Caenorhabditis elegans: one gene and its partners. The protein of the gene in region 1 purifies or fractionates together with the protein of each later gene. This does not show direct contact. Each region holds a gene or a part of one and is shown in the gene's direction. Other genes may lie near its edges.

Region 1 (3,592 bases):
GTCCAAATTTGTCCCCGTTCTGCATAAAAGTTGAAATTTTATGCAGAGCATACAACATTCCATATGAGGTAAGAAGAAAGCTATTCAATTGTTGAATTACATCCAAAATGTTAGATATGTGATGACAAGCTTCGTTGGTCAAGAAACGGTTCAATTCCATTTATTGAGTTGAATGGAGAACATATCGCGGACACTGATCTCATTGAAATGCGGCTTCGAAGGCATTTTAATATCCCAGTGAGAATAACAATAAATTCTATATTTCTACAAAATTCAATTTCAGTCTCTACCAGCTGCTCAAGAAGCACATTCTGTAGCCTTGACAAGACTTGCAGATAATCATTTGTTCAAGTGAGTTATTCAAATACTCTGATTTTTAATGGTTTTTGTTACAGTTTGCTTATCCGTTACAAAATAATAGGAGATGAATTTTTCCATATTCTTGTCAGAAGCATTGGTATTCCAAAATTCCTTCAGCCACTTCTCTTTCCACTTATTCGAGCCTCATTTGGAAAGAAAGTCTATCAGAGATCGACAGGATCAATTGGAGATTTTGAATTAAAAGAAATGGATGATATTCTTCATAGAGATTTCCAAACAATTCAAGATTATTTGGGAGATCAAAAGTTTTTGTTCGGAGATAAAGTTACAGCGGTTTGTGAAATCAATTAGAACCCAATTTTTTATCTCATAAAATTTCAGGCAGATGCAGCTGTATTTGGTCAAATTGCGTCGGTGATTTATCCATTCCGGTGCAGTATCAACGATGCCCTTGAAAATGATTTCCCAAAAATTCTGGAATATTGTGAACGAGTTCGTCAGGAAATATATCCAAATGATTTTACAATTTAATTTTTGTTTTATGAAAATAAATGTTCATTTTCAAATGAGGAGGCAACTCCAAAAGTGATATATTTTCTTCTTCCATTTTTGAAATTGATAAGAAACCTTGTCATCATTTCCACTATTGTTTACTCAAACAAGTGTGGATGGCAAAGATTGAAAAATCAAAGATTATCTTCAACAATTTAAATGTTTCTTATGGAATTATCAAAGCAAACTATTCGCTTTTGTCCAAATTTTCAATTTTCTAAAGTATGCAAAGAAATTTGGAAATTCTCGAAGTTTTCCCGCATATCTTGGCTACTTAAAACATTTTTTCAGGTTTTAGCATAATTTTTAGAATTCAAAAACTTTGTAGAAGAAATACGGAGAAATTCACAAAACAGCATCTTAAAAGCTATCTAGTTGTTGTGAAAGCAAAGGTAAAAGTGCAAACCAACAGAATAAAAAACTAAAATGTTCAAACTTTAACTTATATTTCCTCAAAATAATAGTTTTTTGTACGAATATTGAAAAACAAATGAAGTGATGTTGGTTGACCAAAAAATCAACTAATGATAATTAAACCAAACTAAGCACAAACTTCACTACAAACCACATACCTTTACCTTCTTTTTCTGTTTCTCCTTTAAAATTTAATATAAAATGAAAAGTGGCTCAACGAATACTCAAACTTTTCAAAGTCCGCTATAAAATCTATTTTCCAAGTTGTTTAGACATTGTAAAGATAGCAAACATGACAATATTCTTTTCCACAAAATACATTGTGTCTAACCGTCTAATGTCTCTCAAAACACACGTTCACTGGCTAGACTCTACCCTCATTGCAAGATGGCAGTATTAAATAGAGTCGATACTCATTTCTTCTTACCTTTTTTTTTCGTCAGTTTTGAGTTCTAATTAACGCAACTAACGTCTTAATTTGTAAAATAATAGCAACTCTTATATTTATTGATTTTTTTCTACTTTTGAACGTGAAAAATTATTTTCCAGAATGGTGTGTTGCTGTCCAGTGACAACAACCCTAGTGGTTGGTGCAATCGCTTTTTTCATTTACAAGAAATTCTTCACGCCACCAACAATTAAACCAAAGCCGGCGGTTAGTTTCTTTTTTTTTTTTGAAAATTTTTAATTTACGAACAAATATTTTTAGATTCACAAAACCGACTACAAGAAAGATACTGTTTATCTTTACCAATTCAAAAGACTGAAAAACTGCCCAAATCTTTCACCATTCTGCATGAAAATTGAGATTCTTTGCAGAGTCTACAATATTCCTTATGAGGTTTATTTCTTTTTTTGCTGAACAAATTTTGAATTTAAATTTCAGATTGTGGAGAGTTCAATGGCTCGATCGAGAAATGGAACTTTACCTTTTATCGAGCTCAATGGGGAACACATTGCAGACTCTGATCTCATTGAGATTCGCCTGAGACAACATTTTAAGATTCCAGTAAGTAATTCGAGATGTTTTCAAAATTAATTTTGCAAAAATATATATTTCAGAGCCTCCCAACCGAACAAGAAGCGCAGTCAGTTGCTTTGAGCAGAATGGCAGATAATCATCTTTTCTAGTAGGTATTTACATTTAAATTCTGAAGATGATTAGAAACAGAAGAAAATTCATTATCTCATTGAAATTTATAAGTTCGAAATCATTTTTTACAGTGTACTTCTCCGCTACAAGAGCTCAGTTGACATGTTTTACGAGATCATTGTCGGGCTTCTCGGTTTACCATCAGCATTCAACGCCGTATTGGTTCCTCTGGTCAAAGCTGTGTTTGGAAGCAAAGTTTATAGTCGTTGTGTTGGGGCAATTGGAGATTTTGAGCCACATGAGCTTGATGAGCTTCTTCATAGAGATCTCAAAGTAATTCAAGACTCTATCAAAGGGAAATTCCTTTTCGGAGACAAGATCACACCGGTTTGTTAATTTATAGTTGTATCCTTTTTACCTGGGAATTTTCTAGACTGATGCAACCGTATTTGGACAATTGGCATCCGTGTATTACCCACTTCGTTCGCATATCAACGACGTGCTGGAAAAGGATTTCCCAAAAATTCTTGAGTACTGCGAAAGTGTTCGCAAGGAAGTGTACCCCAATGATTTCACCATCTAACTTCAATTTTTAGTTAATTTTTCTTGTCTTACCTTTTCTTTAGCCAAATAAAAGTGTCTATAACAATAAGTATTTGTATCTTCAAAAGCTTTGATAACGATAAAACAATCAACTTATAACAAGAGGCTTCACATAAAGTCAGAAAAAATTTGAGAATGGCATTATTTTGCTCAGCAATTGCTTAGGCGTATATACGAATTGCATATCTTTAAAGATATACACTGACCCAAATAATAGTTTTTGTTTTGAAGCTATTTTTAGTTGAAATTCGAAAACTTCATTCCATTCTAATAGTTATATCAGCTAACCTCAAAAATGCTCAAAGCTCGTAAATCTGTTTCAAAATATATACCTAAATAGCTTTGATCTGAAATAATGTTTTCTTGATCTCTTCGGTTATTTTGACCTCTTGATCTCTATTGAAAGACATTAATTTAACACTTGTGTAAAAAAGATCGAGAGATAAGATAACGAGAAGGGCAAAAAAGAGGAAAAGGACACCTCCGTCTACATTCAAATCATGTATCAAGGGTTGAAAATGTCTATTTGTGCCCACTCTAAACTGATTTTTGCTTCTGCTGCTGCTATTTATGCTGTTTATAAAATCAACAAGTTCTTCACTCCACCAA
Region 2 (5,449 bases), on another chromosome or scaffold:
AATGAGACACTCTGACACCACGCACATTTACAATTAACCAAATCTCTTACAACTTCCACCACTTTGACCAAACTCTATTCCAGTCAAAGTCGCCCCATTGCAGCCGGGTATTGACGAACTTTAAACCCGACCATTTCAGTAAAAAGAAACATAATACACTTTTTGTCTTCTGTCTCTGTCCAATCGTAATTAGCAGTGCTAGTTGGCCCTGTATATCGTCCACCCAGTAGGCATTGATAAGGGAAATAGTGTATTGGAGGTATGGAGACGCAGAGACACGAGAGAGTTTTTGTTATCTTGTCAATGATTCCCGTGTCATTTACTGTCTCTAACACATCTCTTCTTCCCTCCTTCCATCTGTAGAGATTCTCAATCATTTTCTTTGTTCTTTATGTCCCTCAATTAGTAGTATTAGTACCATGTTATTTTCAGCACGTATCTATTTGTTAACTGTAGTCATCCTAGTTGTAGTGTACATCTGGGTTTTCCAGCTTGATCTCTTTTCAAAGAGAGACTTTCAAAACGGTACATGTCGTTCTGGTGTGCTTAAATTTCGAGGAAAACATTTTTAGTGTACTTTGGCACTACTTTCAAAGATGTACAAATTCTCGAAAAGCTGGTTTTGCAGACTTTAGGATTTGGCAAAAATTTTTAATTTAAATTTTTCTTTTAAAAAAAAGCTCACAGTATGTTTATATATCCCTTGAACCCTTGGAAAATAAACACATATATTTGTTGGAATAATTCTACATGCCCCCGAACAAATATTGGGAAAGTATTCAAAAAGTGGAAATATTTTCAGATCAACATTTTGGGGTGTCGGAGTTGAGTCTAAATTTTTGTGACAAACTAGTAGCTTTTTGTTAATAACATTTACAAGTGACGCGACTGAAAAAATCAAATTCAAAAAGTCAAAAATTGTTCAATTGTTAGTTTGTTTCATTGATTCATTGGATTACAAGACAGATACTTTAATTTTAAAATTTATTCTGGTTAAGTTTTTAATTTGACTTTTTGAATTTGGTTAGTTTACAATTTTCGATGATTTTTTTTTGTATCAAATATATGGGAATTTGAATTTTTTTTAATAATAAAGAACCGACATTTCAAAATTTAAAAATTCACAATAAAAATTTCAGATGAAAATAAATTCTTTATTTTCACTTCAACTGAACAAAAACTATTTTGAAAAACTGTACAACGTCGGTTTCAAGTTGAAAATTCAAATTGTTTTTTTGGCCAAAGTTGTATTTAAGTATTAATCTTCTAAATTTTAGAACAGATAACATAAATAATTTAATGAAAAAAATTCTTGAAATAAAATAATAAAACAATTCAAGTCTATCAATCTCCCTTCCTCTATAACTATGTATATTGTACCCTTAACATTTATCAAAAATTGTCAACTAACAAAATAATTCTTGCAATATTTTTTAAACTTTTTGGTTGACAACGTTTTCTATATCTCTCGCAATGTAGAGTTAAAACCAGTTATTTTCAGGAAATATGACCAACGAAACAGCCTTAACAGTGGCAGCCGCAATTCTTGGTTCCACTTATTTTTTGTATTGTAAACTGTTAAAAACCGCAAAATTATCACTTCCAAATGGGCTTTCTGTTGATAAGCAAGCTGTTGAAGTAAAGGTGAGTCTTATAAGAAGATAATGGGGAAAAACTTGTTCGGATTTTTTCAGACAATTAACTTTATCAGTTATCAACTGTCAATCTGAGTTAATGTGCATTTCATCCATTAAAAATCGCTGTAAAATGGAAGTTTTTGCAACTTTTCCCAGTTTTCGTTGGAAATTTTTAACAAAAAGGGGCGACGAAAAGTTAGACCATGCCATAAAAACCAAGGGCCTAATTTTGACTTAATAAACTTTTGAAAAAAAACGTTAAACAGACTAGAATTTTAACTAGTGACCTAACTTAATCTAAAATAGTAATATAATCCAAATAATATACAAATCTAAAATATAAATTTCCAATCGAGTCGGTCCTAGCGACCTAACAATTAATATATTCGGTAAAATTGACTTTGAGGATGGCCTAACTTTCCTAAAGTTCTGCTTAGTCGCTTTCAAGCATGGCCTAACCTTTAAAAAGGTCGGCCAGATAGTCTCCACCCATGGCCTAACTCTAACTTAAAGCACGTGACCAGTCACTCACTACCAAACGGTGCAATTACAGGGTCAACCAGGAGTATGGAAAAGTGCTCTAATGGAAAATGAGTCCGAAGACGTTCTCACTAGATTCTACCCAGAAGTCGCCACACTTCATGACGTCTTTGTCAAAGGAAAAACGGTTCGTCTTTTTTGGGACTTTTTTTTTGCTTTTTCGGGTGGTGTGATGTCCTTTTCTGTCCCGAACTTTGTCTTCTTATCTTATCAATGACGGGGAAGCGGTTGGCGGTGGTGAAAAAGGAGATACAAAGAACATCGTAAATTTTCGAATTCTTGGAAGTTCTAAGAGTACAGAATGTGACGAAAATTCAGAAATCAATGCAACAACAAAAACCTTTTGAATATTCCGTTAAAATTGTATAATTTGTATACTTTTAGGAAAGCAATGGCGGTCCATGTGTGGGTACCCGGTCATCTGGCGACGCAGATTACGAGTTCCTAACCTATGATGATGTTCATGAACAGGCGAAGAATTTATCAATGACATTAGTACATGAGTTTGGACTGACTCCAGGTTAGTGTGAATCAGAAGAAATTGCTGTGACAGAAATTGAAACTCGCGTTTCCTAAAAAAAGTTTCAGCCAACACCACCAACATCGGAATCTACGCTCGAAACTCACCACAATGGCTCGTCAGCGCCGTCGCGTGCGTCGAGCAGTCAATGGTAGTGGTTCCACTCTACGACACCCTTGGTGCAGAAGCCGCCACTTTTATCATTTCTCAAGCGGAAATCAGTGTGGTCATTGTGGATTCGTTCAAGAAAGCAGAGAGTTTGATCAAGAACAGAGAAAATATGCCAACGTTGAAGAATATCATTGTTATCGATAGTGCGGATGAGTTGAAGGATGGAACTGTAAGTGGGGCTAGGACCATATTATGGCTACACATTAGACTCTTTTATTGAGTAGCTTGCCACTAGATTACTGTCCATAGCATGATCTATATTACTATGAGGTTGCGGATGATATGAATCAATATAACCTAGTCAAAGGTGGCGCCGATAAACAAAATTTTTATGATAGTTTAGATTTATTTACATAACATTTTCAAATAATAAATATTTTTATAAAAATTATCTCCAACATGCTTTCAGGCCATCATCGACACCATCCGCGTCGAATCTCTCACAAACGCCTTGAACCTCGGATCCCGTTACCCATTCACCAATAACCTCCCAAAACCAGATGACAACTACATTATTTGCTATACGTCAGGAACCACTGGAACCCCGAAAGGAGTTATGCTGACCCACTCAAACATTGTCGCCAATATTAGCGGATTCTTGAAGATTCTATTTGCATTCCAACCGTCGATGATTGATGCGACGCAGGTCCACATCTCCTACCTCCCACTTTCCCATATGATGGAGCAGCTCACTCACTGGACACTTCTTGGGTTTGGATCTAAGATTGGTTACTTCCGTGGAAGCATTCAAGGCCTCACTGATGATATCAAGACACTGAAGCCTACTGTGTTCCCGGTTGTTCCACGACTTTTGAATCGACTCTATGATGCGATTACCGTAAGTCTTGTGTGTTAATTTTTGAAAAAAATGTACACGTTTAGAGCAAAGTCCAACAGCAAGGGTTTATGGCAAAACTGGTGTACAATTTTGCTTTTGCCCGCAAGCTCAGTCTCGTCAAAGCCGGAAAAGTCGGTCGTGACACTATCTGGGATCGTCTGGTGTTCAACAAAATCCAACAACAAATAGGAGGAAAAGTAGATCTCATGGTTACAGGATCCGCGCCAATCTCTTCCACCGTTCTTGAGACCTGCAGAGTCACACTTGGAACCACAATTGTCGAAGGGTACGGTCAGACCGAGTGCACCGCATTGGCAACGTTTACCTGGATGGGAGACCCGAGCACCGGGCATTGTGGGGCTCCGGCGCCATGTGCTTTGGTGAAGCTCGGGGATGTGCCGGATTTGAACTACTTTGCGAAGGATGGAAAAGGAGAGGTGAGCATTTATTAAAGAAAGGCAGTTTCATCCAAAATATTCAAAATTTTTCTAGATCCGAATCAAGGGACCATGTGTGACGAAAGGGTACTACAAGGATCCAGAGAGAACCGCCGAGTTGTTTGATGAAGAGGGATTCCTGCAAACCGGAGACATCGGAGAGATGCTTCCAAACGGAACTATTCGAATCATTGACCGAAAGAAGCACATTTTCAAACTGGCGCAGGGAGAATACGTGGCACCAGAAAAAATTGAGCAGGTCTACATTAGGACACCCGTTGTGCAACAGGTCTATGTCGATGGAGATAGCTTGGAAAGGTAACTTGGTTTTTCGTTAGATTTCTCAACATTGAGATAATGACTTCAGATGGCTCATCGCTGTTGTCGTGCCAGAACCCGATGTGCTTAAAGAATGGAATGATAAACAAGGATCCGGATCAAGAAAAATTGAAGAAATCTGCAATGACGAGAAGGCTAAGGAGTTCGTGCTCAGTGAGCTGCATGCAATTGGAAAAGCTAACAAGTTGAATTCTATCGAGCAAGTTAAAAAAGTGATCTTAACGTCTGACACGTTTACTGTCGAAAATGGACTTCTAACCCCAACGCTGAAAGCAAAACGACCACAATTGAGGCTGAAATATAAGGATGGCATGGCAAAAGTGTATAAGCAATTTCCAAATCTTTAAATGATTATTTTGATTCTAGTCTATGTATATTTTAGTACTTGGAATTTATTAATAAACCAAAAATAAGTAAAATCTTTGGAGGAGCAGAATATGAGTGAAAAATTGATATTCAGGTAACTAATACTATTATCATTAATTCAAAATACTAATTACAATTATGCAGTAACTGCGGAGACCAAGTTAGATTACGTTCTGGAATTCTTCAGAAACCGTTAAAAGTTGTACACATATTTTTAGGAAAGCTTGATTGTTTATTAAAGTAATATCCTTGACACGAATAGGTAAATTGCAATATATACATCAAAACTTGTAATATTTGATCCTGAGGTAATTGGTAAATGATTTGTTGACACGTCATCCTCTTCCACACATCGGCTCCCAAAAAAATGCAAATCGCAACGTGAATCCAACTCGATTAGATTACAGCACTCCAGCAACGTGTTGTTTTGCAATTGTGCGCTGGAGATTGTTCCCAAGCCACGGGGAGAGGAGAAAATTATCGAATTGTGCATTTGCAGGGTTTGGGAAATCTCAAAGAGATGCTGAGTGGATTCTAGGTGACAATTTTCTATGTGCAGATTTTTGATTTTCGAGTTCTTAGCTGCGGAGATATGGGATAT
Region 3 (2,897 bases), on another chromosome or scaffold:
ATTCCCTTCTAAAACCAGTTCTGTATCCAGTATGGATGTTCCCGAGAACATCATTGCGCCTGTTTCTCTTCTGAAGTCGTCATTACATAAGGTAAACCACCATGATTTGAACATTAATTGATATATTTTAGACTGCGTTTCTTGTTCGTGACACTCTGCAAGAAATGTCTCGCATTAATGAAAATCAGTTGCTCTGGCTCAAAATTCTGGATAAAACTGATCTAATGTGTCTTATTCTGTTTCAAGTTGCCAATGTTGTAATAACAATTGTATATTGGAAATAAAAATCAAAAATAACTTTCAATAAATTTATATTTACCCGTTTAAAAAATTTGATCAATTCATAGGGATAGATAGTCCTAGTGGCAAAAATTGGGTACTTGTTTGACAGTAAATTAAAAAATATTTAAAACGTCTCTAAAGCACCCTCAAAACAAATGATCGGTTTTAGTGAAGAATAATTTATATTAACAACTTTCCTGCGCGAGAACATGGAATGTTTGGACTTTTTTAGAGTATTGTTTTCTGCGGGGTTGACAAATTTTCAAGAGTCCCTAGGCCTTCTACAGTGCCGGCCATAATTCTATCCAATTTTAGTTTTTTGACAATAACTTGTTTCAAAGTGATTCGTTTGAGTTGAAAATTCACTATAATATGAAAATGATCAAAACATAACTATTACTGCAAGAATTATAAAAAAAGCAAAATTTAAAAAAATTTCGGGGAATTTTCAAAAATTCGAAAAAGTGAAAATTATCTAAATTCTGAAAATAGGTTCTTTGTGAACTGGATCGGTTTTATCTGTCTACGAAACTGTCATTAAACTAGTAAATGAATCTTTGTGAATTTATTTTTGGCAATTAAAACTTAGGTGTCACGTGACAACAGACCATAAGCTTACCTGCAACTTGCAAGTGCTTGAAAATGGAAGAGTCTTTCTATTTTCAGTCATTGTGGCTATGAAATCAGTCTCATTCATTTTTAAATTAGGTTTTCTACATTGTTCAAGACTATTCTATTGATTTTGTATAATGTTTCTATCTATCTCGCTGGATATAAGCATCGCAGAGACACTCAGTGCTTACCAAGTATGTCAATTTTTGTCTTTGCCGCCTTGGTAAAGCTACCCTAACCCCCTTTTTTTCTAATGTGTGCAAAAAGTCAAGCAGTCAGAGTGAGGGATGGTAAAGCTATCGCACCTGCAGCAAACTAACTTCAAAATAAATTATGGTTTTATAAATTAGGGTAAATTAGGTTTTGGTTTTCTCAAATGTTTTTTTTCCGCAAACGTTATTGGATTTGGCCTATATATATTCTCCAGGCCAACTAGAAAGCATTCAGCTGGCTAAAAACACGCGGTTATCGGTATATTCATAATTGAACAAGGCTTCCCTCAAGTGACTAAAAAAGCTTGTTTAATTACATGAAACGGATGAACTAGAAATTCTTTAATTTCTTTTTCGATGACCGTGATGTTTTACTTTATTTCAAAAATAATTCCAAAAAACATCCAGAAACTTTTTTATAAAGGTTGTTTTTTCTCCGCTTCAACCTCGACCTTTCTTTATCTCCACGGTCAATCTGCCCTAGATCCGTCCGTATAAAAGATCGGAAAATGTGTAATTCAAATCAGTCTCTGCTCGAATCACCGATTCTCTACTCACTCGACTACTTCTCTGCAATGGATCAAATCCCACCGTACGAGTTCAATAAGTACGTGCTCTACGCTCGTGGTGCCGTCATCGTGTGTGCTTCATTTGAGGTTCGTTCTGTGCCGTTCGTGGTCCTCGGAGGACTGGTCCTGGTTTTTAAGGGCTGGCCTCTAAAGACTTGTCCTGGCTCTTGGTCTTTTGCCCGTTTTCCAGAATGTATAGAACATCATGAAATATTTGCAGCTCCTGATGGTTCTGTTCGGTTCCCTCGGCGATTGCAATTTCCTTGCCAAGCTATTCTACTTCATCTTCCTCGGTGGAGCAGTTGCCGTCTCATCGCACAACATTGCTCTCAACATTGATGGTCGCGAGGAGATCAACAAGGTTCTTACCTCGTCTGACAATGAAGTTCGTGGAAAGTCTGCCGCATTGGTTCTTGTCCCAGCTCTTGCTGGTATCTTCGTCTTCTTGTGTGTTTCTGGGCATGCATTCTTCTCACTTTTCGTGCTCATCCACGTGCTCGCCGCTGTTGGACAACTCGGAATTGAAGCTTATGAGTTCAAGAAGGGACAATCTGGAGCTCCAGCACAAGACCCAGCCGCCACTGCACCACCAGCCCAGGATCCAGTTGCAGCTCCACCAGCACAGTAGAAAGAATACTTGGGGGTTTTTGAAATAAAAGTTTTTACTTGCTCTTTTTGATCAGGAATGTAATCTGCAAATTCTGCTAGACTCGGTCGCCAAAAAACCTGGAAAAACTAAGTGCTCTTTTCTACTGTAGTTTCAGAAGAGTGAGCATCTTGTTGTAAGAGTAATATTTTGTTGTGGTTAGTCCGAAGAGAGGCTTCTGTGATTACTTAAAAACTATCGTAACTATCAACTTTTTGAGCAAATACTGGGTTATTGGAGTACTTTAGTATGATTGCTGTTCGTTTCGCTGGGTTATTTCAAGGATTCTCGCAAACTGGAATAATTCAAACACTTTCTAAATGCTCAATAATCTTTATTATTAGTTCCAACTCCAACAAGAGAAACATTCATTTTCTTCCCCATCCAAGTGGAGTCGGTGGACGATAGATGGTATGTCTTGCATTTGCAGATGGGATGAAATTGAATGAACTTGGCTGAGGAGCTCTTCTAGCTGGGTTGAACAGTGATGGTAGAATTTGATTAGTTGGAATGAATTGCTGTAAAGTATTATACGTTTCTTTTGCTTGAAAGTTTGAAATCAGCCTACCGCGGAAA

The links.
Region 2: the proteins of cdr-6 (region 1) and acs-5 fractionate together in Caenorhabditis elegans (co-fractionation; one large-scale study listed by BioGRID). This does not show direct contact.
Region 3: the proteins of cdr-6 (region 1) and F17E9.5 fractionate together in Caenorhabditis elegans (co-fractionation; one large-scale study listed by BioGRID). This does not show direct contact.

The regions. Positions count from the first base shown.
Region 1 is NC_003283.11:12,411,944-12,415,535, reverse strand, and holds cdr-6 (CaDmium Responsive), read left to right. Parts: upstream 1-1,834; 5' UTR 1,835-1,837; coding exon 1,838-1,942; intron 1,943-1,996; coding exon 1,997-2,128; intron 2,129-2,173; coding exon 2,174-2,296; intron 2,297-2,349; coding exon 2,350-2,417; intron 2,418-2,511; coding exon 2,512-2,767; intron 2,768-2,813; coding exon 2,814-2,963; 3' UTR 2,964-3,049; downstream 3,050-3,592. Other genes in the region: cdr-2 (CaDmium Responsive), read left to right, coding at 1-68, 115-237, 284-351, 396-654, 703-852; cdr-7 (CaDmium Responsive), read left to right, coding at 3,502-3,592.
Region 2 is NC_003281.10:13,539,587-13,545,035, reverse strand, and holds acs-5 (Long-chain-fatty-acid--CoA ligase), read left to right. Parts: upstream 1-1,501; 5' UTR 1,502-1,506; coding exon 1,507-1,644; intron 1,645-2,190; coding exon 2,191-2,304; intron 2,305-2,561; coding exon 2,562-2,697; intron 2,698-2,765; coding exon 2,766-3,037; intron 3,038-3,277; coding exon 3,278-3,706; intron 3,707-3,750; coding exon 3,751-4,143; intron 4,144-4,198; coding exon 4,199-4,461; intron 4,462-4,510; coding exon 4,511-4,829; 3' UTR 4,830-4,897; downstream 4,898-5,449. Other genes in the region: lron-13 (eLRR (extracellular Leucine-Rich Repeat) ONly), read right to left, coding at 5,084-5,449.
Region 3 is NC_003282.8:8,344,202-8,347,098, forward strand, and holds F17E9.5 (DUF7087 domain-containing protein), read left to right. Parts: upstream 1-1,616; 5' UTR 1,617-1,681; coding exon 1,682-1,762; intron 1,763-1,895; coding exon 1,896-2,303; 3' UTR 2,304-2,345; downstream 2,346-2,897. Other genes in the region: lgc-5 (Neurotransmitter-gated ion-channel ligand-binding domain-containing protein), read left to right, coding at 1-91, 132-284; F17E9.18 (Neuropeptide-Like Protein), read right to left, coding at 2,690-2,839, 2,890-2,897.